Linked DNA regions of Rhinolophus ferrumequinum. The protein of the gene in region 1 interacts with the protein of each later gene in a pairwise test. Links are inferred from orthologs where the notes say so. Each region holds a gene or a part of one and is shown in the gene's direction. Other genes may lie near its edges. The genes, in order: CCHCR1, CCDC102B, MIA2 and STX11.

What was found.
Region 2: the proteins of CCHCR1 (region 1) and CCDC102B interact in binary tests that used the Homo sapiens proteins (3 or more experiments, as listed by UniProt). The link is inferred for Rhinolophus ferrumequinum from reciprocal best matches to the Homo sapiens genes CCHCR1 and CCDC102B.
Region 3: the proteins of CCHCR1 (region 1) and MIA2 interact in binary tests that used the Homo sapiens proteins (3 or more experiments, as listed by UniProt). The link is inferred for Rhinolophus ferrumequinum from reciprocal best matches to the Homo sapiens genes CCHCR1 and MIA2.
Region 4: the proteins of CCHCR1 (region 1) and STX11 interact in binary tests that used the Homo sapiens proteins (3 or more experiments, as listed by UniProt). The link is inferred for Rhinolophus ferrumequinum from reciprocal best matches to the Homo sapiens genes CCHCR1 and STX11.

The regions. Positions count from the first base shown.
Region 1 is NC_046286.1:1,661,665-1,669,403, reverse strand, and holds the start of CCHCR1 (coiled-coil alpha-helical rod protein 1), read left to right. Parts: upstream 1-4,718; 5' UTR 4,719-4,800; intron 4,801-5,798; exon of another isoform or gene 5,799-5,864; 5' UTR 5,865-5,915; coding exon 5,916-5,931; intron 5,932-6,009; coding exon 6,010-6,211; intron 6,212-7,331; coding exon 7,332-7,635; intron 7,636-7,739. Other genes in the region: TCF19 (transcription factor 19), read right to left, coding at 1,173-1,410, 1,671-2,226, 3,247-3,484. UniProt on the Homo sapiens protein: May be a regulator of keratinocyte proliferation or differentiation.
Region 2 is NC_046302.1:53,808,372-53,815,255, forward strand, and holds the start of CCDC102B (coiled-coil domain-containing protein 102B), read left to right. Parts: upstream 1-3,879; 5' UTR 3,880-3,998; intron 3,999-6,884. UniProt on the Homo sapiens protein: During interphase, forms fibers at the proximal ends of centrioles to maintain centrosome cohesion. During mitosis, dissociates from the centrosome following phosphorylation to allow centrosome separation. Contributes to CROCC/rootletin filament formation.
Region 3 is NC_046289.1:86,527,036-86,534,880, forward strand, and holds the start of MIA2 (melanoma inhibitory activity protein 2), read left to right. Parts: upstream 1-4,841; 5' UTR 4,842-5,046; coding exon 5,047-5,161; intron 5,162-7,192; coding exon 7,193-7,326; intron 7,327-7,845. UniProt on the Homo sapiens protein: Plays a role in the transport of cargos that are too large to fit into COPII-coated vesicles and require specific mechanisms to be incorporated into membrane-bound carriers and exported from the endoplasmic reticulum.
Region 4 is NC_046286.1:88,729,541-88,736,988, forward strand, and holds the start of STX11 (syntaxin-11), read left to right. Parts: upstream 1-4,432; 5' UTR 4,433-4,619; intron 4,620-4,784; exon of another isoform or gene 4,785-4,794; 5' UTR 4,795-4,907; coding exon 4,908-4,977; intron 4,978-7,448. UniProt on the Homo sapiens protein: SNARE that acts to regulate protein transport between late endosomes and the trans-Golgi network.

The DNA.
Region 1 (7,739 bases):
TGGTAAGTAGGTAGGAGTAGAGAGGGTAGACATGCAGGTTGCAATAGACTACCAAGATAAGGCCTTTCCTAGAAAGAACAGAAACACTGCTTTGACGGTACCTTGGCTTGGTGTAAGGGTCACAGAAGGAAACCAGTGAACCGTGCATGGGTTAGGTTGATGCACACGGGACCAGGCCAGGGTCTGCTCTGGCTGGTTGACCAGCTCTTCTCTTCCCTGGCAGCACTAGCACCCTTGTTTTGTTGCGCTTCACAGATGTTGCATTTTCTACAAGTCAAAGGCAAGGCCCTCCACCAGTAAAGATTATGGCTCCCGTTAGTGCAGTGGTCTGAACATGCAATGTCTCTGAGGTGTGTCTGTACAAGTGAAGCTTGTAACAGTTCTGCCATCTACATGAAACTGACCAAACCCCAGCTCCCTTATTTTAATGGCATTGGGTCTGTTTTCCTTTAAAGGAGAAGACTTCTTACCTGGGTTCCTTTTTTCCCATCTCCCATCTCCAGCTCATCCCACCTATGTGCATCTCCCCAGTGAACGGGTTTGTATTTCTCTGCCTTTTCTGCTCATCTCCCAGGCCCTTAAGAACTCATGTTCTGCAAACCTTCCCAAGGCCATTCTCCCAAGAATTGGAAAGCATGAGTATGAGACCCACAAAAAGAATAAATGGCAGTGAATGAAGCTACTCTTTATTTGGAAATGAAAGCAAACCTCTGAAAAGCCAGGCTACAAACAGGGTCAGCAATAGGACTCCCCACAATATAAGGAAGTTTGGGGGCAGTGCTCTAGGTTTCCCCCAGAATGCCTCAGGTGATGCCATCCAAGAATGTTGAGAACTCACTTGTTAGTGTCTGGGGCTTACATCTTCCCAGGCATGGTCTCTGCAATTGACCAGAGCTCTGGTCACAGACATTCTAGTGTGAATGGCAGCCAGGACCTGGGAATTTCCAGCTCACTGGCAACTTCCTGCAGGCAGTGTTATCTTTGGCAGGAAACCATCTCTTCTGTCACGTTGGCCATGAGGGCCTGTTCTAGACCCATAGCAATGGACCCCAGCACTGTGGGCATTCCCTCCTGGGCAGGCAAGAGAAAGCAGTTCTTAGAACCCACTGGTATTCCCTCGTGTCCACCCATGGCCTGGAGGTGCCAGCTGTCTGGCCCCTTGGTGGAGGGCCTTAGGTCTGGACAGTCGCATGACACCCTGGGCACCGGAAGTCAGCCTCCCTGGCAGCCTGGATACTGCAGCCAACACAGGCCACGTGGAACCAGACGTCACAACCATCACACTGAACCCAGGCCACTGTCTCTTCTTGGGGCAGGAAGCAACAAGGGGCTGCACAGGGCTCCCCGGCCCCAGCAGCAGGGGCAGTCATGGTGCTCACTGGGTACTTCGGAGGACGCCCATGACGATTTCTAAAGAAAGTGAGAAAAACCAGGGTCACTGGAAACCTGTAGAAGCCTAGTACTTTACCCTGGATGATACCTGAACCTATGTAGACTCCCTAGACTAATGGTGAACCTGGTTAGGAGCTAAACCAGGTCTTGCCATTCCAACATCTGTTCTCTGTCCACCTCCTACCCCCCACCCCAAGCAGAGGGCCACCTCCCAACCTGAGGCTCTAAAAAGGAATCAAAAGGCAGTGAAACATTGAGAAAACGATCTCTCCACTTACCCACTAGATGTCAGAGGGGTTTTGTCTACTCGGAGTTTTTTCCTGGGCTCTCTAAGGACTAGTGGGGGGCTCTCAGGAGCCTCTCTCTCATCATCCAATTCTGCCAACACTCGGTGAGCCGATTTCCTCCGATTTCTTGGGGGTGGGGCAGAAGGGGCGGTCTCCACTGCCCCAGGGGGAATGGGAGCAGGCCGGCTCTGTGGCCCACCCCCAGTCCGTGAGAAGGTGAAGGGCTGGGGCTGGAGCTTGCTGAGGCTGCCAATGGAGTTGAGGATCAGCGTGGCTCTCGGGGCTGAGGCCAGGGTGCCGAGGGGGCGCTGTGGAGCCCCCTGTGGGGGCAGCATGGGCCAGAAACCAGCTCCTGGTCCCTCTTCCCTAGACCGTGGGACGGTAATGGCAGCAAAATCTTGAGGTTTGACATGGACTTGCTGAAACATGAAGTAGAACTCCGAGGGGCTGGTTCCTGGGGGCCCTTCAGGGCCGAAGGTCAGAAGGTCACCATCACTCAACTGCAGCTTGTGACCCCTTGGGAGTCGGACATTATTGACCAAAGTCCCTGTTGATGACGGGCACCAGACAGATACAGAGAATGACAAAAACATGACCAGAGTCAGGAGTAGAGAAATCTGGTCCTGTCTGATTTTCTGGGGAGCGTGAGGAAGAATATGGCACCTGTCATCAAATTCTCACATTCTAAGTCCCTCAGCAGGTGACATCAGATGTTAAGCTCTTTCTGAGCTGGGAACAAGTGTACTTCTTATGCCCTCCCACAGGACAAGGAGGGAACAGACCCCTTCCCTCACTCCACTGAAGTCCAGTTCTGACGTGCTCACTGTCTCCCAGCTCATTCAGCGGAGCTCAGACTGGGTCTGAATCCTGACTGCACCACTTGCCCACTTCATGACCCTGGAGAAGTTACCCTCTGTGCCTCATTTTCCTTGTCTAAAACGGGGCTGATGTTAATGCTCGTCCACAGTCAATGCATTTAAAACGGTGCCTGGTTCAATAGTAAGCGCTAAATGAATATCGGCTACTATAGTTACCTAATCCCCACCACACTCCCCAAACAGACCTTACAAAGCTTCCACTTTACCTAAGAGGAAACTAAGATTCAGAGAAATGAAGTGACAGGCCTGAGTTTTCACCTGGGGCCAGTGGCAGAACTCAGATGTGAGCCCAGGCTTTTTGAGGTTGGCTGTGACCACCTCCGAGTCAGGGAGTAAGACACATGCCCATATCATTAAAACAGTTCAGCATCCTAACTGCCTTAAGACAGGAACAAGGCACCTCAGCAAATCTGGAAACTGAGTCAGGCCTGAGCTTGGCCCCAGAACATCCCCACTGTGATATTTCCCTGCTGCCCAGGCTCTGGCTCTACCTCCCAGCCCCTGTATGAGCTAAACAGGGGCCACCAAGAGTCAGCCGGGCAGAGAGCTGCTGACATTGCACACTTTGGGTGAGAAGACAAGAGGTCTGGACTACAACCATCCATCCAACCTGACAGGGCGCTTGGGAAGCAGGCAGGGTCCCTGGGGAGCCCCTTCATCATCCCGGCCCAGAACGGCTCACTGCTCACCTTGGCTGCTGCAGTCCTCCAGGCTGACCCTCCAGGCATCACCCTGGCGCTCGGCGTGCAGCTCCGCGTGGACTCCAGAGATCAGGCCGGGCTCCTGTTGGGGCTTCAGGGCCACATCACACAGGTCAGCCCTGTGGCCCAAGCGATAGGTGCATCCAGCGCCGCTTGGGGGGTGGAAGGTGTAGAGATCACCGCCCCTGCCGCCTCCGACGCGCAGCAGCTGAAAGCAGGGCAGCATGGGCGGCGCCCCCTCGGCCCCACCTCTTCCACTTCAGGAATCCATCACCTTCCCCACTCCTGAGCCATGCACGGTGGCCCAAGTTCGCTTTCCGTCTGATGCAAACTTGAGCTATGATTTGTGCAATTTCAACTTTGAGCACACCCCCTGAGCAGTGCAAATTCAGTCCAAGGATCCTAAGCACGTGATGCAAAACTGGCTGTCAAGCAGCTTTGAACTGAAAATTCTGGGAAGGTCCCGGTGCAGTGCAAAAACGAACACGTCCTATGGTACTTTAGATGAACCGATCCTCAGTCTGCAAAATATTCGGAAAGCCTTCAATCTGTGCAAGGTAACATACATTCGGCAGCTTCTGGGGAACTGGGAACTGTAGGTGTGTATGGGGGCGTCCTACTTCTGTGCAATACTAACTTGTCGCCTCGATATAATTTGGGGAAAAGAAGCTTCTTCCTGTCAGACTTGCTTATCCAAATAGAGTAGCCAGCCCTCCTGCTCGCCCGCGCCTCTCTTTTCTGGCCAACCCCTCGCACATAACTAGTTAGCTTGAACCCCAGTGGAAAGTGATTCCACTGTCACCCCCTCCCAAAAGGCAGTGAAAACGGGTCCCTACGTTCTTTCGCAAAGTGGATCTAAATCCCTGCTTCCCGGCTTTTTCGGGTGAGATAATAACAAAGGAAAGAGCTCCCCGAGATCATGCAAGGCAAACCCAGCCTTTTGCCTCCCCGCCCCAGCTCCGTTTCGGATCTACCGCGCGGTGCAGTCTCGAAGTGGTCTCCTCTCCGGCAGTGCCAGCCTGTGCAGCGTTCCGGGACCCCTCGGGCTCCGGCCTGAGCTGCCGCTCCTGCTTGCTGTTTGACAGCGAGGAAGCCGGGCCAGGAGGGGAGCGGCCTACGCGCGCGGGCAGCTCCGACCCCGCCTTCGGAATTCCCCGGTCCGAATTTCGCGCCAGCGAGCCCGCCCCTCCCCCGTACCGTTCCTGATTGGCCAGCCCCTATGCCCTCCTCCGTTCCATTGGGCGGGGCGCTGGCAGGCTCCCCCGATGTCCCGCCTACCACTTTTTCTGATTAGTTCACAAGTTTTCCCGGGTTCCGGGAGTTAGGAGGCGCCGCCAGGGCGCGGAGGTGCCCCAACGTGGTAATTGGGCAGGGCTTTAGACACTCCTGCGCCTGCGTGTATCTCTTCCCCGCCCCCCCACTTCCGGTTTTTGAGCGGCCCGCCAATGGGTCCACTCTGCGCAAGCGCGGTCAGGGGCGGGACCAGCGCCGCAGCAAGGAGTTGGGGGCGTGGCGAAAGGGCAAAGGGGGTTCTCGTGCTGGGTGAGGGGGCTTTCGGGAAGAGTCAGTTGGGGGTGGGAAGGGGTTGAGAAGGGGTTTGGGTTGGGATCAGGGTCCCATAGGGGAGGAGGGGGTACAGGCGCCGGGTAAAGGAACAGATAAGGGGGTCAGAATAGCCTTAGAGCTCCGGGTATATCGGGGTGAAGACTCAGGGGTGTCTGGGGGAGTTAGGGGGGAACGGACTGAATGCCAGCTAGAGTAGGGAGAAGAGAGGAGGCTGTTGAGCTGAGAGATGAAGGTGAGAGTGAGGGAGCAGTGTAATTCAAGGAGAAAGCAGATTAGGATGTAGGGAAGGAGGGGGGAGGAATCCTAGATCGAGGGAAAAGTGGGTGAATTTGGGTGGGAGGGTGGGAGACCCTGAAGAGCCCTCGCTGTGCTCTAGGACGCTGAAGAGAGGAGGGTGGGTGGCAGGAATGGAAGTTAAGGGGATAGAGAAACTAAGAGGAAGTTGCTAGAGGGGTTTGCATGAGATGTCAGGAAGCTGGCTTTTCTGCCAAGGGATCTAGGCTGCCTAGATTCCCAGGGGTTCTGGGGAGGCGCCCTGCCCTACATGTGGCCACATTCATCTGGGGTCAGCTTGGGCCAGCGCTTTAATAGGGAAGGGCCCAGGAGTCATGGCTTGGTGGTGTCCGGATGGGCTTCCCCAAGGCCTGCTGAGCCATGGAGAGAACTCTGGAGACTGGGCTCACAGTCCCGGCACCACACACCTCCAACCAAGAATGGCAGAGACTATAAAAACCTGAGGAGGAGGGTAAAGGCACTACCCAGACCTGAAAAGTTTGAGTAAAGCCTAAGAGCTCCCTCTTAGCCTGTTTCAGTAAATTCCCTCCATCTCATGGTTATTGCCCCAGTTCTATCAGGGACCAGGTTGGGTGAAACAAGTGATCTTTGGGTATTTCCTACTTCCGGGAAGTAGAAAAAGAGGAGCTTAGAGTCTGGTGGACCTGGCTCTTATTTAAGGATAATGACTGTTATTTTAGGGGCTTTCTCTTTGGAAGGTGGCCTGAAAATTGAATTGGAGTGCCCTTGTTTCTCCTGTTGTCCAGGGGAACATAGATGGCTGGACACAGAATCTAGAGACTTCAAATAATGTGGAGATGTTTCGACCTTCAGGTCAGTGGGACCTGGCAAGGGGACTGGTGATTGTCTCTTCCTGGGAAACTGACCATCTCTGTCCTTGTGATTCCTCAGGTTCCACTGGGCTCATTCCCCCATCCCACTTTCAAGCGCGGCCCCTTCCTACCAAACCAAGAATGGCTCCCACCTGGGTCTCAGACATTCCCCTGGCCCATCAAGATGTCTCAGAGAGGCGGCCAGACAACCAGAAACCTCAAGTGATCATGTGGGAACGGGATGTTTCTGGCGATGGGCAGGAACCAGGGCAGAGAGGCAGGTAGGGGTCCGCTGTCACACTGTGTTCTCAGGCTGGCTTGCCAGAGACCCTTGCTTACTGAAATTTCATACCGTAGTTTGGTAGTTTGTTCATTTTTCCGTAAGCAATTATTGGTGCCTGCAATGCATAAATAATAATAAGGCAGCATGCTAGACGATAGGGATGGGGATAACAAAAATAAATAGGAGAAATCCTGATATCAAAGAATTTCAAGTCCTAAGGGAAGAGACCGATTGACCAACAGCTGATCGTAATAAGCATGATATACAAGGCAAGGTGAAGAAGTTCAAACTGAGACTGTTTTTGTGCTGGATGGATTCATCCTGATGGAGCACCGGCTGTGGGAGCTCACTGTGCTATTTGTCAATGTGTTGTCTGTAAAGATTCTTATTCTTGTTTCACGTATGTCTTTTCCCAAATGTACTGGAATGCCATTCTGCCGTTGTGCTCTAGCGTGGGATTGGAGACAGCGCTGCCTCGGACCCCATCAAATAGGAAGGAGCATGACGACGAAGGGGGAGCACTGCAGTGGGTGTCAGGAGACAGAGACACTCTGTTCCTCGTTTGGCACCAGCTAGGGGTCCTTTGGCCAGTCACTTAACTTCTCTAGGCTATAGTTCCCTGCTTAAAGAAAAAAAAAAACCCTGTGATTCTGGGCCCCAGTGAGGGCGCTATGCCAACAGCCATGTTATAAGCTGTAACTTTATGTGACACCAATAGCGCCGTGAGCGCGCTCTCTGCTCATCTCCCTCAGACTTTACCTTGCCCTTAAATCAGAATTCAGAAGTCTCTGCATGTACTTCCAACCTCTCTAATTCAGAATGTGTGCACTAATGATGTGCACATTTCATGTTTAAGACATCCTTGTGTGTAGCTCCAGAGGCCATGTTCCATGATCTCAGCCAGTCTAGGTCCTTTGAGCCCCGGCACTGGACCTTCTATGCTTAGTAGGGCCTCCATGGATGACGAGGGTGCTGGGAATGCAGAGATCCCCACGGCCCAGCTTCATCCCCCCGTCTCCTCACATAGGAGCAGAGGGATCTCTTCTGTCTCCATTTATGCCCTGGCCACCTTCCCAGCCTCAGAGATAGGTCTCACCTGTGCTAACCTGTCTTTGCAGGTCCGTGGAGCGGCAGGGGTCACAGGCCCTGAGCCAGCAGGCTGAGCTGATCTCTTGGCAGCTGCAAGAGCTGCGGCGGCTGGAAGAGGAGGCCCGGGTCCTGCGGGAGACCTCGCTGCAGCAGCAGATGAGGCTGGAGGCCCAGGCCCTGGAGCTGGAGGCTCTGGCACGGGCGGAGAGGGCCGGCCGAGCTGAGGCGGAGGGCCTGCGTGCCGCCTTGGCTGGGGCCGATGTTGTCCGGAAGAACCTGGAAGAGGGGAGCCAGCGGGAGCTGGAGGAGATTCAGAGGCTGCACCAGGAGCAGGTGAATGTGGGGGTGGGAAGAGCTCGGCTTCATAGTGGGAAACTGGGCAGTAATTTCCCGGCAGAGAGCAGGAATCAAAGAAAAGCAGTGGAGTGATGAGAAGT
Region 2 (6,884 bases), on another chromosome or scaffold:
AAAAGCCTGCTGGCAACCATGGTCCTGGCTCCTCCTGCCTTTCCCAGTGTGGTTTCCATCTGAATCGTGACCCTACAATCAGTTAAGGAATTCTTCTCTATCTTCAGCCTCCCAGCCTTGTTCAAGGAGGAGGAAGAAGAAAAAAGTGAAACAATGTGGTGGCATCCATATCAGGAAGACAGAACTTTCCACAAATGCTCATTAGGCTTCCACTTATGTATCACCAGCAAAACTGTGCCATGGAGCTAAGTGTATTTGTCATCGGAGTCTTGGTATAATAGTATAAGCTTTTTTTTTTTTTAACTGTCATATTGTTGTCCCAAATAAAAATACAATTTATTTTTGTGGGGAGGAGGCAGAGAAATTATTCCAGGTTAGCAAACAGTAGAATTCACAGGGAGAACTTGAGATGTACAATGAAATTGGAATCCACACATGCACACAAAAATCAGCCCATATTGATGTGTGTTCAGTGCCTTGTGATGCTGGCAACTTGCCAACAAGTTATGAGAACTCCAAGGCTGAATTTTCTGTTCTCTTTTCCTTATGCTCCTATTACTTGTTATGGGATATGTAGTGTTAAGGTAATGAAGAGGTTTGTACCTGTGTGTGTGTGTGTGTGTGTGTGTGTGTGTGTGTGTGTGTAAAAGGGGGTGGGCAGAGAAAGAGAGAGTGAGTGACCATGGTGGCAGTGTACTCTGAACTAAGATGGAGACACTGGATCGCTTTGTTTCCATGACACTGGTAGGTCCCACACTGTCGGTAAACAGCATTGGTGATCCAGACTTAGCAACAAGGACAAAGCAAGACACCTACTCTACTTTCTGACCCTAAGAAAGTGGGGTTGTGGGGGTGAAACAGAACCTTAATTTGGCAAAGCTTCTGTTGAGACAGTGTTCTCCATATATATATCCCGATTTTCCTGCTCAGTGATTTATACACTTGCCTGTAAAAAATTGATGTGGTGAAACAAAAATCTGATTGGTGTAGGTTCAAGAGATGGAAGGAAATGAAGACAGAGAAACAGACAATTCTTTCAGGTTTTACTACATATAAAAGCAAGCTATTATATTTGAAGGATAAAAAGGTGTGAGGGCTCAGGAATAACAAAAAGGTTGCTAGCTTGAGAGCCTGGATGGATGGTAGTATCGCTACTTAAGGTTGAGAATACAAGTAAAGGTTTTGGAAGAAATATGAGATTTCGCTTTTGAAGATTATTAATGATTCAAATGGCTCCCTGTGAATGTTCTCATTAGACTGTTACAAATACAGATCCAAAGCTTGATAAACTGTTTTGGGCTGGCCATATATATTTGGGAATTTTATGTATATTACTGTATTTGCTAGTGTTCCATAACGAATCACCACAAACTTGGTGATTAAAACAACAGGTATTTATTGTCTCACAGTTCTGGATACTAGTACTCCCAAATCAAGTGGTCAGTGGGACCATAACCTCTAAAAGAGAGAGAAACCTTCCTGGCCTCTTCCTGGATTGTGGTGGTTCCCAGCAATCCCTGGTTTGTATACGTATCACTCCAATCTCTACCTATATCTTCCCACGGTGTCCTTTTCTGTGTTTCTGGATCTAAATTTCCCTCTTCTTGTGAGGACACCAACCATTGGGTTAAAGCCCACCCTTATTCACTGTGACTTCATTTTAACTGGGTTACATCTGCAAAGACCCTATTTCCAAATAAGGTCACATACACAGGCACCAGGGCTTTTTAGGGTTTGCAATTGAACCTGCAACAATGCGTATGACAAAAGAAGGCACAAAACACATGGGGTCACCCTGACAAAGGATGTGGGGTGACACTAGGACCAGCGATTGTTACTTGTTGGTATTGCACCTTGAAAGGAAAGGGAAGTAATAAAGGACGGGGTAAGTACATGGCATGGTCCACAAGACAGAAAAAATAATCCAGAACCGTTGAATTCTGGCAAATACATTGTGAAGAAGAGATTTGATAAGGGGTTAAAATCTTCAGAGATCTGAATTTGCATGAGTACTAGAAACAGACCACCGTCACTCTTGCTGAAGATGTAGAGGGACTAGCATGAGGGCAGGTGGATAAATTAGGAGGACATAGAAATCCAGATTATGACGGTTGCCTGAACTGGGCATAGTATTGAAGGAAAATCAAAAGGCAGTGATGCTGGGTTGGATACAGAATCGAAAAGGAGTCAAGGAAGGCTTCCAGGATTTTTGTTAGTAAACCATAAGCCTGGTTGGCATTATTCAGATAAACAACACAGCAAGTTCACAGAGAAACGATGATTTCAGTTTTAAGTATGTTGATGACATATGTGTGGTATTTTCTAGTGTGCTGATGCACATGAGTGTTGGAGACTCAGAAGAGGATTGGATCCAAATGTTGATAATTTGGAGTCCTCAGCCAAGAAAGATGATCATTGTAACCATGATAATGGGTGCCATTATCCAGGGAGATAACACATTTACATGAGAGCATACCTGATAGACGCCAGGGGTTGGAGGGAAGAGAGGCAACACCCCAGGGAGCGGGGGAGGCAGTGGCAGTGATCAGCAGGAAGACCTGGAGGGTGTCGTGCTCAGATCAGAGAACAGAATCTTCATGTCAGCAGGATTGTGAACAGCATCAGAGGCTGTGTAGATGGCAAGTAGAGTGAGGACTGAGAGGACGCTGTGCAAAATATGCACGTGCGTGCGTGCGTGCGTGCGTTTGTGTGTGCACGGGTGTGTTTCCAGAGACAGTCACGTTGCCGCCTTAAAGGGAGTAGGTGGCCTTAGTATGGATGCTTAGTTGGAGAGAGCTCTTTGAATAATTTGGAGAGGAGGGAGAATGGTTGCTACAAGGAAAATGAGCGAATTGAAAGTGAAATTGATTGACATAAATGAAATTGAAGAATTTATGGTGTTTAAAATATCATGGGAACATCCAGACAAAAGGGAGAGTTCAAAGAAAGGAGAGAGAATGGTGGGTGATCATATTCCCTGAGAAGACGGGGGACAGGAATCCTCAGTGGATTCACTTTCTCCTGCAGAGGGGTCTCCCTCTCCAGAGGAAGGAGGAAAGGATGCTGTGAAGCCGAAAGAGATGATGCAAACGTTGTTCAGCTAAGAATAATCCTCCAAATTGAGAAGGGAGGAGGCATACACTAATTTTAAGACATGAGCTCCCTGACTTTCACATGCTGCTCTCATGCTATTAACAAGGAGTGTAGTGATTGTGTCTCTTCTGTCCTCTCTTCTTTGCGCATTCGGTGCTGTTCGTTTCAACCAGAGAAGCTGTCTTTTATGTGGTCTACCATCACTCCTCCATCAGAACACTTCCTGACAGCTGTGTCATGTCACTGGGAAGTCAGTCCGTGTTTTCCCCCCAAGGAAAGGGGCCAGACAGCTCTGGCTGGGGGCTGTGGAGCTTCCAGATCCTGCCAGCATGACTGAAATCAGAGGTTTTATTAAATGTTTCATTAAATTTTTTTTTTCTTTTTTAGGGGGGGCAGTATAGAAAAAATCATGATAAAAACGATGATATTTTCTTTTGTTCCTGTGATTTTGGGATCGTGGCAGATAGAAACTTTTTTAGGTTTTTTTTTTGCTCTGCCATTTTCCTGTTTCTATTACTATTACAAGCTATGCCTATTGTTATTAAACACTGAACAAATTTGTGGATGAAGGGGCGGGTGTTTTCTTTTTTATCCACAGTACATCGTTTCCAATGGGTTGTATGCAACATGTTGGCTAACCATACTTTGTTAGGGAACGCTGAAATGATTTCATTTTGGTTAGCTCACTTGTGATCCACAGAGGGTGTTGTGGTATTGGTTTTGATAAAACTTCACAACCAATGGGAATCTTGTTCGAGTTAGTGTGGAGTGGCCTTAATGCTGGAAATAATCCTGTTGGCCAGGACCCCAGAGCTCCACAGATGAGAAAAGGATGCAGGAAATTCTGTTGTTTATGCATGTGTCTGTAACACTGAGCCGCTAGAACAGCCCAGCAAGCCCAGAGGGTAAGATGCTTAATAACCTTGTGGTTTTCTACTTAATTTTTATATTTTCCTGCTGGGGCAGAGCATGTGTTGTTCTCGGAGCAGAGAGAAGGACAGTTACTTGTAAGATGCAGAACAAAACTACTGTAGGTCTGGGAAACAGGGGGATTTGGAGTTTCTGCTAAAAGTGGATTTGATTTCTTCCCTCCCTCTTCCATTTCCCACTGTTGGCATTATGTATCCTGACAGCTTGTCATACATTTCCTGTCTTTTAAAAAAAACTGTATACTAAACAAAATTCAGGTAAGAATTTCACTCTAAATTAAGACAGCAATATGATATGTGGGTATTAAAACCTTGTTTGGTAGTTCCAAGTGGATATAAGTTATGTGCTTGAAGTAATCTATATTGTTAGAGTAAAAACAAAGTAAAATTGTTATGCAAACCCTCATACGTTACGCTTCATGTACTTAGAGTTGTTTTCATGCTGAATTCCTGTCATTGTTAACTGAAAAGCATACTTCAGACTTAGCAGTAATATTGATTTCTTTATATAAATTACCTGGGTGGTGGGAAGGAGATAGGGACATAGAATAAAATAATGAGATCCTGTGCATAATAAAAAGGAAACGGATGCTTAACTCTATAGACAGTGCTTATAGAGCTGAAGAAAAAGGGATCTCTGGAAACCATTGGGCAGTATTTGCTTATGTTTCCTGCAAAGATAAATTATAAAATGAATGTTGAGTGGGTGTCTATTAAATAGAAATATAAGGAAGATGTTCTTAAAAACATAATTAGAAACATGTAAGTAACATATGGTATTGAAATACACAACGCTATTTCTTGATATTTTCATTTACATCAACACTAATTTTTCTACTTTGTAAAATCATGTAAACACCCTTTTGCTGATATTTTGTGGGATAGGGTGTTGTTACGACTTCTGATTAAATGTTTTGTTGTTATTTTATAGTCAAATATCCTCACGTCTACATTAAATGTTCTTGAATTCTCATTTTTATCCATATTTTGACATAAGCATTAGATTACAAAGAAATCTCGAAAAGCTAGTGATACAATATATTTATGCTTTGTGTGATGTTGCAATATCAATTTAAAATATCAGTGTGTGTATGTGAATGATATCTAGAAAGAAATGTTTGATATGAATTACTTTTCATTCAAAACGTTACAAATAGTTTTCTTGTGAAATAACAGATCATGTAATGGTTTCTGTCTTGCAGTCTTCATTTGTTTTCATTGGATTCAGTAACTGATTGATCACTGGGACAGAGCTTCTTGGTGCCTCACTATGGGTGTGGTCTCGCAATTTACGAGGGTTTCATCCAATTATTAGAGTCACAAACATAATGGCAGTAATTCTTTAAAATTGAAAATGATCTCAGGCCACTTCTAGTTGAAGAAGTATCCTGCCTCTTATGCTGATATTACAAGGTCAATTGGATTCTGCCATAATGTGAAAATCTTCAAAAATTCCCTTTTTAAAAAGATTTTAGAGAAGGCTTGAAAGAAAAGTCTGGCTTTCTGAACTTAGCCATGAAAAATCAGTGGAACTTGGGTAGTTGCTGGGAAGCAAAAAGACTCTTCTACTTTGTAGTAGTTGGAGCAAAGGGTGTCGAGGCATCAATTAAGACAGAGCAGAGAAGGAGAGATGGGTTCCCTGCCTCATTGAGGCAGAAAAAACACCCCTTTGTGAGAAGCAGACATTGAGCTCCATGGAAAGAGCAGACAAAATCGTGGAGCATCTGAAAATGCACAGAGTGATTTTGTCCTCTGTATGATACAATGGGGGCGATTGTAAATTTCTGAAGAGATGGAGTCTTGTGTCCCTTTCCTCCTCCGCCTCCTTAGTAATCATCACCTCCATTGTCGTCATCTTGCCAACACATGATCATGTTTCCTATGTGCAACATAATTTACATACATGAGTACAATTTTGAAAGTCGTGCAATCAAATGAATTTTCGTTTTGCCTAGTGTCTTCCTCTTACACATGAAGGAATCTGATATGCAGAAACATGAAATGATTTATTTAAAGCTGCGGAGAGAGTAAGTGCTGAAGCCAGGATTTCAAACAATGTCTGTCTGGCTCCGGAGCTATTTCCACTATGTTGCACTGGTATTTTAGGAATGTCAATCCGGCCTAAATTAAGCAGGATGGTTTGGAATGGGTGTTGGGATAACAGAGTGCAGGAAGGAGGCGGTGAGAAAACGGCAACCATCAATTCCAACATCTGCAAATCCAGGCTAATCGCAATTCTCTCAGGTGGTCCACTCTCCTTTGGGGATAGAAAGAGAAACTGATACTGAAAATAAGCTTTTTACATTTAAACAGGCTGTGCTGACATTCAACTCTTATGCTTTTCTCTTTCTCATTTTCTTGAATGTTGTATTCAAAGAAGACAGCTTTGATGTTTCAGGAAATTTAATCACTGATTTTTATCGATATTACCAGAAATGAAATATGTGAGGTGCCTGGCAATAATACTGGGAACACAGGGGTTTCCTTTGTTTCTTCTTGATGTGTGATATGAATGAATGCTTAGTGACCGCACTTTCTTAAAATTATGGAAAAAAATTATTATCAAAGAGAAGTATCATCTAGGCTTTATTTCAGTGGGTGAAGAGCATTTATAAAATATATGCTGATATAAAATATATCAGTATGTAGTAACATACTGATGTTACTACAGTATAGCCATAGTAAAAAGAATAGATCCTAGTTATTAAAACTTTCCCCCTTTACAGCCAAACTTTAAACATGCTATTTCACTTTCTCTCTAAATAGAATAGGACTAGTATCTAGAATGGGACTCATTTTATTTTTTTTCTGTTTTTCATTGTTTTCAGTTACATAAAATTACCTTATATTAATCTATGCTGC
Region 3 (7,845 bases), on another chromosome or scaffold:
TCCATGCCGAAATTGTATTCTATAAACTTAAATTTTTAATTATTTGGAGGAGGCATACACATTGCTGATATTTTTGTGAATTAGTTAATTTTTTTTTTCTTAAAAAAGCTTGGGAGTTTTTTTAAAAAAGCTTATGAGGTACTTAGGGACATGGACACCAAAAAAAGCAAGAAGATACATAAATAAGAGGGTAGCAGTAGGGAGTGAAGGAGGAGGATTCTGGAGGGGAGGGTTTAAGAGCATATAAGATTGACCCATGTGGGTTCTTAAAAGACATTCAGGGGCGGCTGCAGTGCTCATAACACCAAGGTCGCCGGTTCGATTCCCACATGGGCCAGTGAGCTGCGCCCTCCACAACTAGATTGAAAACAACGACTTGACATGGAACTGATGGGTCCTGGAAAAACATACTGTTCCCCAATATTCCTCAATAAAAATTTAAAAAAGACATTCAGGTTATTGGTAATTGAAAATTAGTAGGAATATTAAATATTTCTGTATTGTTGCTCATTAACTTACTCATATGTAGCAACTTGTCAAGCACCCCTTATGGTATTTGGGAATCCAAAAGGTTTTTATAGCTTAGCTTGCTGCATATCTAGAGTTCTACTGCTGCTACTGATGCCAAGCCAATAATAAAGATAAATAGGGGATCCAATTCTTTTTGTCAGAACTTTTTTTTACAGAAGAGAAAATTTAATCAAAAGGTTACTTGACTTTCTTTTTGAAATGAGAGAGCAGTTGAGCTACACAGCTGAAGATAGAATTTCATTTAGTCATGAGGCATGAAGAGTCTTGCTCGAAAAGAAATCAATTCATTTATTCACTCATGCATGCATTCTTTCATTCATTCAATAAAAAGTTATTGAGTGATGTATTTATTGATCTAACCTAAGAGACTTGAAGAATAAGTAGGAATTAGCAAAGCAAGAAAGTGAAGTTATATGATAAAAACACAAATAACGCCATTCCCTTCCTTAAAACTTTCTATGGCTTCCCATTGCACCTAGAATAAAACTCCCATTTCATTTCCACAGCCAAAAGTCCCTGGATGATTTGACCTCTGTCTTCATTTCCTAGTTTATCTCCTACCACTCTCCACCTGCCTTTATGTTTCTTGATTCTCTATGCCAAGTTAGTTTACACCTTAAAGCCTTGTTTCTGACATCCTGAAATGTATCCAAGATGCCTCTGTTTTTTCTTTAAATCTTTGTAAATCAAACTTCAGACAATGAAGTATGACCTCTTCATTAATTCTTCCCTCTGCACAGAATGTTCTGCCTTCGTATTCCCCCACTGTAAGTCTATTGTCACTCTCCCGAGATGCCTTCCCTGAAAAGTTTGTCTAAGTAGACACTTTTCTCCACAATAACTTATTACTACCTGCAATTATTGTGTTTACTTATTTGTGTGCTGGTTCTTATCTGTCTCCCTTCCTTAGCATGCAAGGTCCATGAGAGCAAGGACTTTGTCCTGTTCGCTCCTGTATCTCCAGTCCCTAGATTGGTGTCTGACACATCATGGGCCCTCCATAAATAATACCCATCCTGGAAGATGAGATTTGTATGGTACAAAGTTGGTGCTCAACAAACATTAAATCTCTTTCCTACTTCCTGATAAGACTAATCAGCTCGGACCCTTGCTCAGCAAATATCACACAGGTATCATCTTGGCTGGATAGCTTGGCTTGTTCCATACTATTATTCAAAAACACACAGTAAAGGATAAGGACCGTGTGTGGGGTTTTCTCTTTTTGTTCCTCCCAATCCATTCTCCACTCTTTGCCATGTCCTGCCATCTCCTTTTTTTTTTGCATCTGTGGGTCACTAGCTTCTGAGGTTGGGTCCTCTAGAAACAGACACTAAAACAGAGTTTTAGTTTTACGGGATCAACACCTATGAAAAGAAGGGGGAGAGACCCGGACTGGGCAGAGGGGAAGTTGAACTGCAATATAGGCTCTACAAAGCTTTAGTCAACCCAACAGGGAGGGAGCTCTGGAGTGAGGCGTGCCTGCCAGAGTGTCTCACATGAAGCTGAAATGGCCCTGTCTTTGTACTTCCTTGTCATTTACTCACTAGGTTCACTAGATCACCTAGGAAGGGGTAAGGTGGCTCTCTGCAACTGATGTAGACCTTGGAGTGGCTGCCAGGCAGAGGCTGTCTGCTAACTGCATTTCCCGCAGCTGAGCAGAAAGTCTTAACTTGAAGAGGGTGTGTTGAGAGCCATCTCCATGTCTTCCACACCAGTTTGAATCTCAGTGTCTCCTGGGCCTTGTCTCTCTGTGCATGTATCTACCATGGGAACTGTTTCCAAGCGCTCTGTTCTAGTGCCTCTTCACTAGTAAACAACAACAACAACAAATCCAGCTTCATCAGTTCAAGAAGTTCTCCCAAGTAACTTCTAATCAAATTTCTCTTTCTTATAAATTACCAGAGTAACAGGCAATTCGTTGAAGGAAATATGCTCCCACTTTAGGAAATGTGAGATATTACGAGAGAAGATAGTACTATACAGTATCAGAAACAACATCACCAAGAAGTACAAGAGCAGCATTCATGATTATGTCTTTCTATTCTCATGAAAAGGGATGCTCTGTGATATCATCTCTCAGACACTGAACATGTGGGTGGCTTTCATGATTCCTTCTTTAGCTTGATGCAGTAAGTTCTCTTACCTCCTGTATGGTTTCTGAAGGATGCTGTAGGCCTTCCAAACCAGTATTCCTGAGTGAGTGTTACCATGAAACCTTCTTTAGCAGCAGTACTATATTTTAATATTGACACACACTTGATTTGCAAAATGCATCAGCCAGATAATATCTGGCTAAGTTAATATGACTGTTTTTACAGTGAAAACTGATACTTTATTTAAACTAAATACTCTTATCTCTTGCATGCACTTCCTCTTCATTTGGGTTTATTAGATAAGTTAACATTGTGCTACTGTATTTTCATATATAATTTCTTGTTAAATTATATTTAAGTAATGAGTTGAATATAAAATTAGATCACCTGAGTGCATTAAGTAGCAAGAAAGTGGGAATATTTCTAGCACGTACCTTAGGAGCAAATCTCTCCAGGATGGTATCTTAAGCAAGGATTTTCTTCTCATTTTTCTTGAATCAAATCTCATGTAGGCCAATCAATAGACAAACTTAAATTTATCTGGGTTCTTTTCTCTCTTAACTTAGAACATAATTAAGTCAGTTAGTTCAAAATTTAGCTGTAGTATCTTTAATGTTGAATACAAAAAAGGATAAAGTACATTAATTATTGAATATTCTCAATTTGATATTATAAATTACGCAAATTAGCTGAAGAGCTAATCCTGTTTTAAATGTCTTTGACAACTTATATATTTATAGATTTTCAAAAGCATTCAAGAAACCAACCTATACCTCTTTGAGTGTGCGTGTGTACAGCTATGCAGTACTCTGATTACAAGCCAAATGATCTGCAAATTCATGCCATATTAGATTCTTCCTAAGGACATAAAAATCTTTGATTTGAGAAAGCAGGCTTCCTACTAATTGTTGTTTTCGGAAAACAAGCAAAAAAGAAGAAAACATACTTCCTTTTTTTAGGACTTTGAAAGCAAATGTCCTTCACTTTAGCTTGCTCAGGTGCTGGATATTTGTCTCTCTTATGTCAGGCACTAGAGGGGAGTGTGGTGTCATACATACAAGAGCTACATTCTGCAAACCACACACACGCTGGCATGCCCAAATACAGGGGAAAGCTACAGCAAAGACGGGCTTAGAAAACTATTTCCTCAAGATTGAAATAGGACAACTGCGATTTTCAAAAATCTACTGAGATCTAGTGTTATACAAAAAATTCCCAATATAGGGCTTTGATCCCTTTTAAGTGACAATAGCATTCAAATAACTTGTTTGCCTAACTTTATTGGTATTTTTGAAAGGATATATGCTCGCTGATTTTTAAAAGAAAGTCCAAAACTATGGAACAGTACAAAGAAGAAAGTGAATACAAGTTGAAATCACATCATATAGTTCCATTGTATGGGGGAGCATTCTTTCAGACATCTCTAACTCTCTCTCCATTTATAGAAATATGCAGACAATTTTACATACATGGAATAATACTGTACCTGCTCTTTCTGGAATAGAACTGTTGCGGACGATATCTTTCTGTGGCAGAAGTAGATATCTTTCTGTGGCAGATGACTGGATTCTTGGTAGGAAGGCATGGTGGTTGTAAGTAGGGGGAAACACAGTGCCTAGGTTTAAGTTTCTTCTCTACTAACTATGTGATGTTGAAGTGATTTAACCCTTCTCTATGTACCTCAGTTTCCTCAAATACAAAAATGGGGATGATAATATTACTTACCTTAGAGAGCTGGTGTGAGGGTTAAATCAGATCACATATTTAAGTGTTTAGGACAGTACCTGGCACATAAGTACTACTACATTTTAACTAGTATTCTTACCTAAATACAAGATTCAACTTCATAGTAACACTGAAATTTTTTAAAATATGAAAGTGGGATAGTTTTTCAAAATAACTTTCATCATGATATTTCAAAAACTTTTTGTGACATAAATTGTTACTGCTTCTACATGTAATAATAATACGTACTTTCTCCATTGATGCTGATATTTGCATGCAGCAAATACTCAGTTTGTACTTATTGACTGACTTACCTGAAGTTTTTAACAGAAAGAAATGATCTATCTTTTCGTAGAGGCTTGTTTAAGAAATGTTGAACGCAAGGTGCCTTTAAGAGAGACAGTTTCACATAGGCCACCTTTATAAGACATGAGTCCAACTAAAAATTCCTGTTAATTATTAAACCCCAATGTATTATCTGGATACCTGACACTGCAGATTGAGAACAGACAGTGTTTGTCTCGAAAGTTAAGCCTAAATACCGATAGAAAAATGTAGTTTTCAAGGGATTTCTTTAAAAAAACTATACCTTTTTCTCTGGTATTTAGAAAAGAGAGTGGGGTATCTCCTGTTTTGGGAGGCCATATCTACAACCTATATGGTTTAAACCTCATTTGGGATTCTTGCTTGTTTTAGCATGGCGGAGCTTGGAGTTCACAGAATCCTTCTTTTGGTTATTTCTCTGACAAAGTGTCTGGAAGGCACAAAACTGCTGGCAGCCTTTAAAAAATGTGGTGACTTGGAATGTGAAAGTAAGTTTGCTTTTCTTTTTTTTCTTTTCCTCTTAAATTGAGGCTCTGAAATGAAATAAAATGTTATTGTGGACATGCATGGTAAAAATGAGCATTGATATCATTGAGAATTATTTATAAAGTATAGTTCAGTAAAAAAAGAAAATGTTGAAGACATTTTGTGATTTTTTTTAAATGTAAATATACAAAAAGGCAAAGATCAGCCTGATGTATAATTATGTCAGAAATTATCAATATATTAATCCAGACCTCAAACTTTTACTATTTTTTAAGATAAATATAATTGATTTATATTAGAAAAGATATCAAGCCATTTGATATTTCTTGATTTATGAAGCCCCGATATTTTTCAGTTTCTATTTCACAATCAGAACTTTCTGATTCTCATGAGTTCTCTAAAAATGAATTTATTTCAAACCATCAGGATATACTGTCTAAACTTTATCAAATATTAATAATTTCTAAGTTCACTAGTTATATAAACATATTGAAATCAGTGTTGGCAATATATAATTTTATTTATACCCTTGAATATTCAACTTTATATTCTATAAAGGTATATTAATGTTATTTTATTTATTTATTTTCATATATATTTTGATTTTATTACAAGATATTTTAAATTTTTGGCAGATACAATTGTGACAGAAAACCAGCTTCACACACAAAATTAATCTTATTTTCTTGCTTAAGAACTTAATTTATTTTCTGTTATTAGCATTCTGGTGTAAAATGAATTACATACTAATATATTATAATTGCTTTAAATAAGGTTTATCTCTCCAGTATGTGAGAATTATTTCTGATTTGCAATATGTAAATTAAAAATGGAAAATATTATTAGTGTAAACAAATAATTTACAAGCAAATGTTTTATGAGTAAATATTTTCTTTAACCATTCGGATGTGTAATTTAATATGTTGAGGTTTACTAGATAATGTTTTATAATAATAATAATCTTTCTTTCCCTCTTTACAACCTCATTTTAGTTACCTTAAGGCCAGACGCAGAACATGGAATGAGAATATTCAAATTTATAATGTTATTTTAACTTTGATTGCATAACTTAATTAAAATGTTTTACATATATTAATATAATTATAAGTTAATTTGGTATGTATATTACTGTATGTATTAAATCTAGCATATGGGTTATGATCATTCATAGTTATTGAGGGCCTGTTATGTGCTGAGTCTAGATGGGGGGGATGAATCTAAGAGAATAAAATGAAATGTTAAGATAAGTTTCTTGACCTCCAGGAATTTTCATTCTACGGAATAAGTGAGACAAGATATTGATTAATTAGTAAACACTGATACAACCTAAGGATAATAGGTAATACTGAAGTTCAGAGAAGGGGCAGAGTAAGCTAAACGGATTAGGGATGTCTCCCAGAGGCAGTAGTTATGAGTTCACCATGAAGAGAAACCGAAGGGTTTCTAGGTTTAGGAAAGAGCAGAAAGAAAAGCTGGGAATACAGAAGATAGATGATACAGCGAAAAGAACCTCAGTGCAAATCTTGGCTCCACCATTTGTCAGGTGAGTGACCAATTCTCTGAGACTTAAAGTCTCATTTGTTAGACTGAGATGAGATGAGATTATTTACCTCATAGGTCTGTTTTGAGGATTTAATAAAATAAAGATATAAAAGAGCTTAGTATAATGGCTGGAATACATAGGTACCAGGAAAAACATTAATTATCTTTTCTTTCCCTTCCCTATTCACTGGAAAATGATAATGACACATTCCAGGGACAATGGATAGAGGAAATTGACTGTAAAGGAATCAGAGGATGTCATTTTAAATAGGGTAGGAGGACCAGGTAATGGACAGCTTTGGATACCGAGCTAAAATGTTTTGAATTGATTCTGTGTGCAGTGAAAAGTCTATGTAGGTTTTTGAGACCATAAATTATATAAAGAAAATTAGCATGGAAATACATAGGATGGATTGGAAAAGAGCAAGATGGGAGGGGGAGAAATAGCATTTTAATTTAAATTGTGTGTTTTTCTTTACATGTTTACATAGCGTTAATAAGCAGAGTCTTAGCCATAAGAGATTACAGAGGAGCTGACTGCCGATACCTGAACTTCACTAAGGGAGAAGAGATATCTGTTTATGTCAAACTTGCAGGAGAAAGGGAAGATTTGTGGGCAGGAAGTGTAAGTATCTAGTCTTAAAATCTGAATGCAGAATAAATGGCTAGCTTGTACAAGGATGCCTGCTTTTCATCTCTAAAGGAACTTAAAGAATTCCAAAGTACTTTTTATACATTTTAAAAACCCTTACCATATTTAAACAAACAAAAATGGTCTTGTTTCAGTATTGGTTCCAGAATATCTATGAAGTAGCTTTTGGGAAGGCAGTCTGGTTGGCATGGAGAACTAAGAGTGCTTTGAGATTATTTTTACATAGCATTCGTAGTTTTTGAACGTAAATTTTTATATTTACTTGGAGAGACTTTAGAGGTGCCCATAGAAATTATGGGATGACCCCAGCCTTCCCTTGCATCCTATGGTGCTGCCAATGGCCAAGTTTAAGAGAGACTGGGACCTTTTAGCTTATCATATTAAAAAGGCACATCTTGGGGTGACTTGTTGGCTCAGTTACTTAGAGTGTGGTGCTAATAACACCAAGGTTGCCGGTTCAATCCCCGTTATGGGCCACTGTGACCTGTGCCT
Region 4 (7,448 bases), about 87 Mb from region 1:
GAATTATGAGGCTTTTCCTGTATGGCTAGTGGGAATAGGCATTATTTATGGCCTGTGTGAGCGAAAGTTACTGCTCCTTCCAATCTTTTTAGGTGTCTTTGCTCCAGCTCCAGGTAGTTTTCTCACATGCATGCACTGAGAAATCTCTGTGACTCCTTGGAGCAGATCTCCTGGGGTCTCTCTCTCTCTCTCTCTCTCTCTCTCTCTCTCTCTCTCTTTCTTTCCTACGAATTTTAATCACCTTCATCTCCCTGGACATTTATCTTCATCTCCTTAACTCAGGGAATCTGCCTGGTTTCTTCTTTTCCGTGCCATGTGCTGGAAACTCTCTCAAAGCAATAAGCTGGGACGAACGGGGCTCACCCTGTGCGTTTTCCATCTGTACCTTCAAAGTTACTACCACATTCATGTGTGTATGTAGTATCACATACAGTATTTCAATTCATTAGCACTAAATATAATCATAAATATTCATTAAAGACATTTTCATTACATTAGACTTATATGTTGGTATTTTATTATACGGAGAGTTTTAAAATTACTGACTCATTATAACCATATGTTACCAAAAAAAAGGGTTCTTGTATCATCCCAGAAAGGAATTCAAGGACTAATCGAATGAGTCGTGAGAACAAAGCCAAGCAAGCAGTGGATTTATTGAAGTAAAGAAAAAGAGTACACTCCCCAAAATAATGGAAGTGGGCCAGCCAGGAGGAGGGCAACTGCACCAAAGAACAAAGAGGCTTAGGGTTGTATTTGAATGAGAGTATGAACTATTCAAGTTTTAGGGCTGGTGTCATAGGTATTCCCAGGGTGGGTCCCTGCTATCCTTGCTGACCACTCCTTCCTGTTGGGAGGTGGGATTCCCTTGTTTTTACTGGCTCTTGTGGGAACTTTCATGGCGACACAGGGGTGGAGAATTTTCCCGGCCTGCAATGCTAATGTTATTGTAATCTGTTACCTTTAGCTGTAGCTGCACCTTTTCTTAAGAATGACCTCATTTCCTCCTTCCTTTGTCTCACCCTTCTCTCCCCACACACTGCTCTTTCTGCCTAGTTCTTTCTGCCTACAGTAACAGGACCAGGCTGAATCCAAAGAGAACCACACTGAGACACATTATAATTAAACTGTCAAAAGTTAAAGACAGAGAGAATCTTAAGTAAGCGAAAACAACATATTACACAAAAATAGAACAAATAATTCCAAAATGTGTATGAAACCACAAAAAGACCTCAAATAGCTAAAGAAATCTTGAGACAGAACAAAGCTGGAGGCATCACATGTCCTGATTTCAAACTATTTCACACAGCTGTAGTAATCAAAACATACGGTATTGGCATAAAAACAGACACATACATCAATGGAACAGAACAGAGAGCTGAGAAATATACATATGCATCTATGATCAAATAATTTAGAACAAGTCAAGAATATACAATGAGGAAAGGATAGTCTCTTCAATAAGTGGTGTTGGGAAAACTGGACAGCCACATGCAAAACAATGAAACTGAAGCTCTATATTACACCATGCCCCAAAATCAACTCTAAATGGGTTAAATACTTGAACATAAAATCTGAAACCATAAACTCCTAGAAGAAAACACAGGGGGTAATCTTCATATTGGTCTTTACAATAATTTTTTTGATTTGACACCAAAAGCAAAAACAACAAAAGAAAAAATAAACAAGTGGGACTACATCGAACTAAAAAGTTTTAGCACTTCAAAAAAAAACCATCAACAAAACATAAAGACAACCTATAGAATGGGAGAAAATATTTGCAAATTCTATATCTGATAGGGAGTGAATATCCAAAATATAGGAAGAACTCATACAACTCAATAGCAAAACAAACAAACAATCAAAAAAACAAAACAACAACAAAAAACCAATCCGATTAAAAAATGGGCAGAGGAACTGAACAGACATTTCCTAATGTTGACATAAGAAACGTCCAAACCTGTAGAGAATTTTAATGAGTTTATTAGAGCCCAGTTGGCTGTGGTGAAGTTGGCTGTGTCCTGAGGGGTCTGGAAAAAAAGGGATTACTCTGACATTCCAAGGGTATGTTATTTTAGATGCAAAAAAGACAACAGACAGGCTCACTTAAGGTCAAGATTGACCTGCGAAGGAAGCGACAGGCCAAGGATGTGACAACCTGCCATGACCCGCTTTTAGTTAGGAATTTTTATGTCCAGACCATCCTATATAGTTAATTTCAGTCTCTGAGTTTGTAGGACTCACCATGCTGACCTCCCCTGAGCTTGTCGGTTTAGCATGTGGCCCCTTCTTCATTCACACTAAAGAAGATGTAGAAATGCCCAACAGGTACATGAAAAGGTGCTCTCAACATCGCTAATCATCAGGGAAATACAAACAGAACTTCAATGAAATATCACCTCACACCTGTTAGAATGGCCATCATCAAAAAGACAAGTGATAATAGGTGTTGGCCATTAATGTGGAGAAAAGGGAACCCTTGTGCGCTGTTGGTGGGAATGTAAATTGGTGCAGTCACTATGGAAAACAGTATGAGGTACCTCAAAAAATTAAAACTAGAACTACCTTATGACCCAAAAGTTCTACTTGTGGGTATTTATGTGAAGAAAATGAAAACAGTAACTTGAAAAGATATATGCTCTCCCGTGTTCATTGAAGCATTATTCACAATAGCTAAGATATGGAAACAACCTAAATGTCCATATAATATATACACATTATATGTATATACATATATATGTATACACATAATATATATGTGTGTGTATATATATACACATATGTATATATATATTACTACATATATATATATATATATATATATATATATATATATATATATATACATACACACCATGTTTCCCTGAAAATAAGACCGGATCTTATATTAATTTTTGCTCCATGACACATTAGGGCTATGTTCAGGGGGTGTCATCCTGAAAAATCATGCTAGGGCTTATTTTTCAGTTAGGTCTTATTTTTGGGGAAACACGGTATATATATATATCAGAGTAATTTTAATATAGTTTTTTCTTTTCATAAAACGTGTATACATTTTTTGGCACTCTCTCTATATATAACAGGGTTGTCAAAAAAATGTACACAAGTGGACACTTGGTCAATGTTGCACAAGAAGTAGTTCGTCATAATCAGAAGTGTCTGGATGCTGATGGTAATCACTTTGAGCACCTCTTGTAATTGCAGCAGTCAAACGTGACTTGTATTTATCTTTTGTTATCAGTATATACTATTTTAATAGTTTTTTTCCTTTCTTAAAATGTGTATACATTTTTTTGATATATATATATATGTAAATATATATATATATGAATATTATTCAGCCATGAGAAAAAAGCAAATCCTACCATTTGCAACAACATGGATGGAATCGGAGGACATTATGCTAAGTGAAATAAGCCCGAGAGAGAAAGACAAATACTGCATGGTATCACTTATATATGGACTTGAAAGAAAAAGTCAAACTCATAGAAACAGTTGAAAACTGACTGCCAGGAGGTGGGGTGGGGGAAATAAGAAGAGGTTGGTAAAAACGTACAAGTGTTCAGCTATGAGATGAATAAGGTCTGAGGATCTAATGTAAACATACTGACCATAGTTAACACTGTATAATATAATTGAAATTTGCTACTAGAGCAAAGCTTAAATGTTCTCACACACAAAAGAAGATAAATATGGGAGGTGATGGATATGTTAATTAGATGGTGGGACTCTTTTCACAGTGTATACATACATCGTCGCACACTTTACACATTTCAAACATCTTACAATTTTATTTGTCAAGTATACCTCAATAAAGCTGAAAAAAAAATCCAAGGATTGATGATTCGAGGTGAATATATATTTAAAAGAAAAAGTCATAGTATGATGAGGATCATTTAAATGAGTATCTGTTATCCTCAAAATAAAGAGAATAATATAGCTAATCAATGAAATACAAAAAACCCCAATGCACTTTTCTATTTAAAAAAAACTAAAGATTTTTCGTTTTACTTCATCAAAACAACATTAAATCCATGTTTATTTTAATATTTTTGATTTTATATTTTTAATGTGTAGATTGGTTTGGATTTTATATTCTGTAGTCATAGACATTTATACCACGTCTATGTAAATAACATTGTATATATATTATATTCAGGTAACATTAGAGTAGAAATAATTTGTCAATCCTGGGTGCCATATATTCTTTTCCCTGAAGAGGGGTCCGCTCATTATCGAAGTTGGAGAGATGATGTACTAGGACCATGAAAGAAATAAGGTGTGAATAGATTATGTCCCCCACTGACATTTGCATTGTAATCAATTCTGATTTGTAGGAGCATTTATTTTGTAAATGTTTCCTTGTGACTAGGGATGTAGTGTTGTGGCAAAAGTTCCTGTTTCATAACTCTCCTTTGCGCATCACCAACTTATAGAAAATACGGTTTAAAGAAATCAGCTGGAGTGGCCTGCTTTCAACATCCAGAGCTAATGATGCAAGGCTGTGTCAGGCAAAGATTCCTCCTCATGCTCAGGGGACACAAGTAAAGAGCGGCGAAAGGAGAGGAACATCTGTCAGCTTCTCCAAGGTCTCAACAACATCATCATCCCAAAGGCAGGTATGCTCAAGGAAAGACTTTGTTGAATGTGTGCATTGAATGTGTGAGTTCACTGCTCAGATTGCAATCTGTTTTCACGGTTACCTTTAGTAAGTTCATCTTAAAGCACGTAGTCATCATTTGAAACATGCTTGTTTTTTGTGGTGCCAATATTGTATTTTTAAGTTTTCTTTAGGGTCACGGAGGGAAGCTGGCTGTGGTCCACAAACTCACAGAAATTATAGACTGTATTTAACGAAGAAACCCATCCCTTTGAAAAGGGAAAAGGAAGACAGATAAAGAAAAGACATGGAGCTGCAGCAAGGGGATGAAATGGATGAAGAGGAAAACGAAAAGAAAATCGTGTCTCAGCCCCAAAGTAAGGATTTTGGGAGTAGAAATACATAGTTTCTAAACAGATAGCACAAATCATATGGATGTAAAACTGTTTAGCTTCTTTGTGAAAATTACACTTGCTGAGAACTAAATTAATGATTCAAATTCAAACCCAATATTTAAAGGCTTATGACTAAACTATTATCTGTGACAGGCACGGCTTATTGGTTACCTTCTGTTGATGCTCTTGTTTCACTTTTATCAGTTCCGCAGGACAGGGCCATGGTGCAAAAAAGGGTTTACGAGAAGTGAGTATTGAGTAAGAGTCTCATCTTAAAATACTTTTGCAACTTGTTATGCAAAATCACAGTTGCAGAAAAATTGGTTTCCCTTAAGAGCTATTAAGCAGATCAATTCTACTATCTCTAGATCAGGTTGTTTCGGCCCAATCTCTTTTACAGAAAGTATTCTATTTGTATACATAAATTACCCAGTACATGCTAAACTTCAGGTCAGTATATGCCAATATGTAAGAGGAAAGTTTTCACTTAATTGCCATTTGGGTTAAAATAAGAATGCAACAGTATCATTTCAGGAATTATAGGCAGGAAAAAAATTTAATACCAAAATCATACAATGTTCACCACTTGATTTCTACCCCTCCTTGTATACCATGCACAGAAAAATAAGCTTATTGAACAACAAAAAAATTTGCTTTTCTATGAGAGTTATGTGTTGCATTCTTTTTTCTTTTAGAGTAATTTTTCTAAGCTTACCTAGATTTTGACATTGCTCTTTGAGTGTAGGTAACAGGATAGAAGAAATCATTTGCTTTGAAAAGTTCTCATTTTTTGGTTCTTCTGTGGTCTTTGATGTTGTTCTTGGAATCTTTATTGGTGTTTAAGAACTTGGACTGTTGTGTCAGACACTAGGATTTGAATCCAGGATCCTTTGCTTGCTGCGGTTGGGGGAGTGGACAGGACGGATTTCCTCCTCTGTCATATGGGGCTGAATTATGAACACCTCATACATTTCTGATGAGAATTAAATGAAATAATATATGAAAACGTCAAAACAGTGCTTAGCACATTATAACCGAACAATAAGTGTTGGTTATCTTTAACATTGGTATTAGCTTTCTGGGGTTTATATTTTTTAATGATCTGATGTTTGCTAATAATTGTACATTGAAATCCTGAGCTTCAAAGGTGTCTTAGTTCATTTGGGCTATGCTGTAACAAAAATATCTAACCGAGCAGCTTACAAACTTCTCACAGAACTTCTAACAGAAATTTACTTCTCACAGTTCTAGAGGTTGGGAAGTCCAAGATGAAGGCCCTGGCCGACTCCGCGCGCGCGTGTGTGTGTGTGTGTGTGTGTGTGTGTGTGTTGGGGGGGGGCCCACTTCCTGGTCATTGGCCGTCTTCTCACTGCCCTCACATCTCAGAAGGGGTGAGGGAGCTGTCTAGGGTCTCTTTTACAGGGACACTCATCCCATTCTTCAGGGCTCCATCCTTATGACTTAATCACCCCGAGGCACCACTTCCTAATATCACATCAGGGATCAGGTTTTAAAATATAAATTTGAGGGGGACACAATCTTGCAGTCTAAGCACAGGGTTAGAAACTGTTCTCCGGTAAGCTGGGTGGATTGAGTAATGATGGCTTGTTTGCAGTACTGAGGTACAGATTTCCTCACACATTTAGAGGGAATTTAAATATTATTAGATATCAAACTATTTAAACCCTTAAAAGTTAACCTATATACTTTATAGAGTCTTAGTTTTATATCTCCAAAGATTACACGTTATGTAGAGAAGCTATATGCAAGAAGATTTGCCTGTGAATCTGAGAATATTTTTTCTAGCCTGAGTACATCTGAAAAAAATTTATATCAGATGACATACAACATGATTTCTTCATACAGCTAACTAGTGGATTGAATTCAGGAGATGATATTATCATCAAGGAACACTTTTTATAAAGACTATAGGTATAAAATTTTCAGAATAGGATTTGGACACTGTCCTTTACCTACTAATTAAGGATACTGTGTCAGTTAGGATCTCAACCTAAAACTGATAGCACATTCAAATTAGAACAATTCAAGGAAGGTTTATTAATAAGGGTACTATTATAAAGATGCAAACAGGGTGGGAACCATAAGGGACCCCTGGGCTGGCATACCCCAGGCCTGAGACTCATGAATGGGGAGAGGTATTCAGAACCAGGAAGGAGAGGAATCGTGTAGAACAGACCACCTTAAATAAGAGGGACACAGACAGGCTTTCTGTTCGGAATAAATGCCTTGACCTCATCCCCTGCTTTTGCTCTCCTGCTCGAGTTCCCTATTGGTCAAGCCCAAAAGAAGTCTAAAGGCCTAGGAGCCTGTTTCCAAAGTCCATTCAGATCAACCTCCCAGGGTCGAGAGTAGGATGGAGCAAAGCAGAAAGTGGATCTAAAGAGGCAAACAGAAGAGATCTGCACATATGCTGGAGATATAAAAATCTAGAA